Rattus norvegicus: one gene and its partner. The protein of the gene in region 2 interacts with the protein of the main gene of each other region in a pairwise test. Links are inferred from orthologs where the notes say so. Each region holds a gene or a part of one and is shown on either strand. Other genes may lie near its edges.

Region 1 (3,033 bases), on a different chromosome or scaffold from region 2:
TGGAAAAACATGTGGTCCAAAAGCCAGGACATTGGGGCATTAGTCAAGAACTAAAACCCTAGGGCTGGAGAGATGGCTCAGCGGTTAAGAGCACTGACTGCTCTTCCTGAGGTCCTGAGTTCAATTTCCAGAACCCACATGGTGGCTCACAACCATCTGTAATGAGATCTGACGCTCTCTTCTGGTGTGTCTGAAGACAGCAACAGTGTACTTATATATAATAAATAAATCTTAAAAAAAAAAAAACCTAAAACCCTAAATGTTGGTTTCAGAAGACAGTAAGAACTGGAGTACCAATGCGAAATGGGCCCTTCCTTCTTGACTCAAAGTAGGTCAGAGCTATAGCAATGAACAGTGGAGAGAGACGGAAGGAGACTGTGGGAGGAGGGACTGGGGAGGACTCAGGCAACAGCTGTGCCCTGCACCTCCCTGCCATAGGGCCTTATCCAGACAGCCACCCCCCATGGCCACCTACAGGATTTTTGAGGCTGTAGCTCCCGAGGAAAAGGCCTTCTCATATATTCTGCCCCCACCCAGAGTCCACGGAGGCTGAGAGAGACTGGTGGCAAAGAACAAAAACCCCCTTTATTATCAACCGTAGCCCCCGGACCAGCAGACAGACTAGAGGTGTCCCTAGGCATAGTACTGCAGGTTGGCTTTCTTCTTGGCCTGCACCTCCAGGATGCCCTCCATGTAGTCCTCGTGAGTGAGCTCCGTGGCACCCCTGCGCAGTGCGATCATACCCTGCAGCCAGGACAGATATGATCCAGAATGCCTCCCTGCACCCCTGAGCTACCCAGGGAAAGGGCAAGGCTTGACTCAGCCCACCCACCCACCCTGAGCACTCACCGCCTCCACACACACGGCCTTGCACTGGGCCCCATTGAAGTCATCAGTGCAGCGAGCCAGCTCTTCATAGTTCACATCAGGACTGGAGAAAGGACAAGACACCAGAGCTTGATTAGTCATGGAGAGCGAACAGCAAAGGGAAGGAGTCCTATGCACCCATGAAACAATAAAATCAACTTGCTTCTGCTGGCAGGCAAGTCTTTATCCACCCTGACTTTTCTTCTAGTATAAAGAGAAGAAAGGAGCCAAAGGTAAATGAGATCCTATGTATAGGATCTATACATAAACCAGCCTTCTAGAACCCTGCATCTGAGATCCCAGGAAGCAGGTTTGCCTGAGGCTGGGAACATGGGGTTATATAGACAAAAGACAGTATGATTCCTGATGAAGCCATGCATCAGCCAGCACAATGCAGCTGCCCATCATCTGCCCTCATGTGCCAAGCACTGTGCCTAAGACATCACCATGGCTAAATCTCAAACTGGAATGATTTATCCTCAACTTTCAAAAACAAAACACAGGTCACGTGCTGAAAGTTGTATAGATCTGAGTTCAGATCATCTATCTGGTCCTGGTTACATGCTCCTAAGCCATGCTTGGGCTGTGTCCATCTACTGGGCTGCGAAGGCCTATGTGTCTTCAATGGGAGGATGGGGCACAGGTGACTTTGAGTACCACAGCACCCAGGAGGGTCTGAGCCCCAGCAAAACTCTACCTCAGGCAATGGGCAGAAATGGAGGCTGTGTGCATGCATGGGGGTGGGGGATCGGAGGCCGGGAACTAACAGTACAGAGTCATGAAAATTGAAGGCTGAAAAAGCTGTTGCAGCTGACCTGACGTTCATCTTCCGTGAGTGGATCTGCATAATTCTGGCTCGGGCCTCCTCATTGGGCATTGGAAACTCAATCTTGCGGTCTAGGCGTCCTGAGCGGAGCAGGGCAGGGTCCAGGATGTCCACCCTGTTAGTGGCTGCAATTACCTAAGGAAGAGGGGAAGCAGCAACCTGAACTGAGGAGCAGGACATCCAACACAAGCACACATCACAGCAGCAACAGGAGGCAGCCCGGGGAGAAGGAGAGCCCGAGCTGTCAGTACCTAAGCCGATGGAGTCAGCCCTGCACTCACCTTCACTTGGGTGTTGGGCTGGAAGCCATCCAGCTGGTTCAGGAGCTCTAGCATGGTCCTCTGCACCTCTCGGTCCCCTGCCTTTTCACTGTCGAAGCTGCGGTGCACAGGAGCCCGAGATGCCAGTGACACCACGGCATAAGCACAGGCTATTCCAACTTGTCCAGGGAAATGGTTGCCTCAACTTGAGGCTCCCAGCCCAGGGACTGGTACAGAGAAAGGGTCACCAATAATTAACTGCAGCATTCAAAGCTTGCAGAGGCTTCTGGGATCAGTGCTGGGCTAGTGACAAACAGTGAGCACAAACAGCCAGGCTAGGGCTGTGGCTCTGAGCAATACATGATCCCCAGAACTTACCCAGAAATATCTACAACCAGGAACCCAGACAGCCAACCCCAAGCAGGGGTTCTTGAGTCTATAAACAAGGGCCAGGCAACCACTCAGTGAATAGAAAGAGCTGAAAACCAATCGGGTACTGGGAGGCGGCCTGGGTTGGGAGTGGGTAGAGTGAGACTGAAAGAACAGGCTATACAGATCTAGCATTTGTGCTAAGAAGCAATAGGGTGGCCTAGAGGTGCTTTTTAGTAGTGTGTGATGACAGACTTTGAAACGAGAGGTGCCAGTTTTCTCTCTTGAGAGCAAGCTGTCAGCTATGAGGAATTTAGGAGGCAGAAAAACAGAAGTGTTACTAACCAGGGGAGGGACCGAATGGGAGAGAACTGGGATGTAACATAGCTGGGAGGTGAGCTCCTAGCTCACACCTCACCCCAACAACCCTTGCAAGTCCCCGGAACTCCCTTACCGCTTGGTGCCAATGGCATCCAACTCATCTATAAAGATAATAGATGGTGCCTTCTCCTTGGCCAGGGCAAAAGCATCACGGACCAGCTTGGCGCCATCTCCAATAAACATCTGCACCAGCTGAGGGCCTGCCAGCTTCAAGAAGGTGGCCTGAGAGAAGGGACAGATCAGATCAAAGGCACACGAGGCTCAAAAAGTCTTCAAGCCTGTTTCATACAGCTTCAAGTACCATCCCCATGCCCCATTCCTCACACACCT
Region 2 (3,651 bases):
GATGATAGAATGGGGGTAGGGGCCCCCTACCTGTATGACCCTGGTGAGGGTTACCTGGGCTCGGTGTTCACCAACAGCAAATTGTATCACGGCCACACCGGGGCTGTGGCTGTCCTCGATCCTCTCCACAGTACTGGAGTCGATCTTGAGGTCATTGCTAATCTCTGCACTCTGGATGAAATCCTCTGTCTTCAGATCCTCTACCTTCTTCAGCTCCCCGTTGGCCAGCTGGATGATGGAGCCTTTCATGAAATATGGCGGCAGCGTGGGTGATGCCGCGGCAGGGGATGCCACGGACTGTACCACCGGCAGGTGGATCTGGGCCTGCACCATGGCTGGGTAGGCTGCCTGGGTGACCAGAGCCTCTGGGTTGAAGTTCTCGCTCTTGGGCAGGGCGGTGGTGACAAACGTGTGAGGTACTGCAGCAAACTGGGGCGATGACGTCACTATGGCCGAGGCTGCCCCAGGTGTGTCCATGTCAGGGCTGCCCACTGGGATGAGCAGGGGCTGGGTACCTGGGATCACCAGGTGCTGGGGCAGACCACCAGCATAGGTGATTGCTTGCTGCTGGCTACTCAGATAGCCGATGACAGGAGGTTGAGCGCCAGCATAGAAGGCCGTGGCTGGTAGGCCCACCGGGAGAGGCTCTGATGCGCTGTGTGTGGTCTGAATGACCGTGTGTGGGGACAGCGCGTAGGACCTGTGGCCGGGCTTCCCTAGGTGCAAACCGCTCTTGTCATTGAGGGTGGATGGGGAGGCCTCTCGATGTGTGGCCTGCTGTGTCTCCAGGTCGGCTGAGGGTGTGCTGCTGTTGGGCAGGACCATCACAGATCCACGGACCCCGGAGGTATCACGACTGCTGTAGTCTGCTGGGCTCGGGTGGACCACCACATGCCTGGACTCATAGGGGTGAGGCACTGACTTGCTGCTCGTCTTCCCCAGGCTCAGCTCCACAGAAGATGACGCCCCATACCTCCGGCTTTTCTCCATCTCCCCATTGAGGACCTCCTTGGCCTGCATAGCCTGCTGCAACCTGCTGCTTTCTGCTTTTTTGGTGGACTCTCGAGGAACAAAGTGGCCTCCGGCGTCACTGTATTGCACGACCACCTGGGATGAAGGCCCCAGGGTGAGCGTGTGCGGGATCATCGTCTGATGGGGATGGAGGTGGACCGGGATGGGTGGAGATGTTGCCCGCCCGGAGCTCTGTGGAGAGCTGGAAATGTGAATGTACTGGTTCTGCTGGGTAGGTGGAGGGGACCCCGGGTTGACTAATCCCGCAGCCCTGCCGAGGTGCTGCTGCGGAGGGGGCTCAACCTTGTGTCCTGGTGCCTGGCTCAGACTGCCCATGTTGGCCAGCAGGGTGGAATATGCCTCCAGCTGGGAGCGCTGTGATGGAGTGGTGGCCCCTGCAGCCGAGGCCACCGCACTGGTGACTGGGTTGCCTGGTGGGGAGATCAGCTGGGAAGGGATAAAGCCCGCGTAAGGCCCACTATACTGGGAGGACCCAATGAACTGGAAGGTATGTGATAGGTGGGCGTACTGCACAGGAGACACCGGCGTCCCTGACTGAGGAGGAGGGTACACGGTGGGCAGCGTGTTGGCTGTGGGGACCGACCTGGGGGCACTGGGTGGGGAGTAATCCAGCCCTGCGGACAGTGCTTTATGTAAACCCATTCCTTGTAAACCATGTTCCCCGGAAGTCCCTGCTGGCCCGTGCCGCCCACCCCCGTGGCCGCGGCTGCCAGGGGTGCTGGGGAGCCATGCCACACCCTCCACGCAGTGGTTGTCGCTGGGCAGAGCAGTGGCCTTCTCCTCGGAGGGCCGACTGGTGGCGGGGATCTCACGTTTCTTGGGAGGCAGGCATTCATTGCTCCGCTCTTGGTTAGATTTCATTTTTCGCCGTCCCCCCTCCACGGTGGCTGTTTCACTGTCTGGCTGGCTCTGGTTTTAGTCTGATAAACAGAGAGTCACATTGGATTTCTGTAGGGGATCCAGGCCCTTCATGAGGAATCATCTCCCCGTGGGTTCTCTAGGCTGGCAGTAGCAGCTCCGGATTCTGAGAAGGAGAAGAGAGCAGGAGTCGGGGGATAGGGACAGGAGAGAGAGAAGAGAGGGGGAAAAAAAATCAAAACATCAGCTCTGGGGGAGAAACCTCACCAACCAATCAACCCACCCACCAACAAAAACACTATTACCAACAAGATTAAGAGGAGACCCTCTTAGTTGGAATTGCAAAAGCAGATTATGGCCCAAGTCTAAAGAGCCAGTAAGAATCAAGAGAGTGACGAAGTTTAAGGGTGTCCTTTTCTTAAACATTTGCTTATTTGATTTATTTGTTTGTGTGCGTGCCTAGGAGAGTTTATGCACACCATGTATATGTGCCAGTGCCTATAGAGATCACAAGAGGGCGCTGTGTCTCCTGATACTGGAGTTGCAGGCAGTTGTGACTCACAGTGCAGGTGCTGGGACCCTGACTTGGGTCCCCTACAGGAGCCGTAAGCAGCTGTCTTGACCACCAGCCATCTCTCCTGCCCAGATGTGCTTTCTTAATAAACTATAGAGTAGGCAGCCCAGCCAAACATTTCTCCGCCCCTTCCGTCCTCCTCCAGCCTTTCTTCTTTTCCTAGAGGGTGGGTGATCACTTTTTCTTTTCTTACACCATCTCCTGTTGCTCAGGCTATCTTTGGGTAGATGATGCATTTCTGTAAATCGTTTTTACAGAAAGGTTGCTACCTAATTCCCCATCACGACTTTATCTTCGTCCAGGGAGGCCCCAAGAGCTGGGCTTTGTGAAGGAGCACGTTTGGAATGGAGATGCCCAGTGAGTCTTTGGGTTTTTTCTTCAGCTTCAACGACAGAACCAATACTCTTAAGATTTCACCTGGCTACAGGGCTACACTTCATCTACGGTAGTGCCCCCTATTCTAACGGTGCCTCCCACAATGTACCCATGTACCCCAACTCAGCAGCCGTATTGGAAAACAATTCTTCTCACTATAAAGTCTCCAGGGAGTTCCAAGTACAGTCATTTATAAGGAAACACTGAGACATCTTTGAGACAGTTACAAAAACTACTCTGTTTTTTTTTTTTTTTTAATAAACCAAACACAGTACGTAAGATGAGCCCTGACATGTTGGCTCATGTGAGCCTAGCACTCTGAAGGCTGGGGCAGGAGAATGACCACCAACTTGAGGCTTCCTTGTGCTACGATATGAAACGCTGTCTATAAAAACGGTGCATAAACAAGCACATGCATGAGTGAGGGAAGTAGAGCCAAGGCTTTGAAAGTTTCCTTAATAAAAGTTAGGTGCTTGCTTTACCCATGAGCCTTCTCTTCCTTGTTCGTCTCTGAATAGTCTCTCCCCACCATCTCCTCCCCTTCTCTCTGGCAGGGGCCTGTTCATTATGAGCAGGAGAGGAGATATTTGCCAGACAAACCGCAACCACGTGTCCAAGCCCAGCCACGTAGTGATGCCAGGAACTCTTATGGAGCGATCCCCGTCTTGGTCTCACGGAGTCACGGAATTCTGAGTCACCACCCCTGTGTGAACAATGTCTACCTGGCATGGGGCAGGCTGCCAAGGTGAGCAGTGTGTAGCATGCTAGCAGCAGGAGACGGGAGTGTTGCCCATGGGGAGAAGCTGCAGAGG

What was found.
Region 1: the proteins of Atxn1 (region 2) and Psmc3 interact in binary tests that used the Homo sapiens proteins (3 or more experiments, as listed by UniProt). The link is inferred for Rattus norvegicus from reciprocal best matches to the Homo sapiens genes ATXN1 and PSMC3.

What each region holds. Positions count from the first base shown.
Region 1 is NC_086021.1:97,490,556-97,493,588, reverse strand, and holds the end of Psmc3 (26S proteasome regulatory subunit 6A), read right to left. Parts: coding exon 3,032-3,033; intron 2,926-3,031; coding exon 2,777-2,925; intron 2,072-2,776; coding exon 1,975-2,071; intron 1,829-1,974; coding exon 1,683-1,828; intron 932-1,682; coding exon 850-931; intron 745-849; coding exon 634-744; 3' UTR 565-633; downstream 1-564.
Region 2 is NC_086035.1:19,331,708-19,335,358, reverse strand, and holds part of Atxn1 (ataxin-1), read right to left. Parts: intron 2,057-3,651; 5' UTR 1,894-2,056; coding exon 55-1,893; intron 1-54. UniProt on the Homo sapiens protein: Chromatin-binding factor that repress Notch signaling in the absence of Notch intracellular domain by acting as a CBF1 corepressor. Binds to the HEY promoter and might assist, along with NCOR2, RBPJ-mediated repression. Binds RNA in vitro.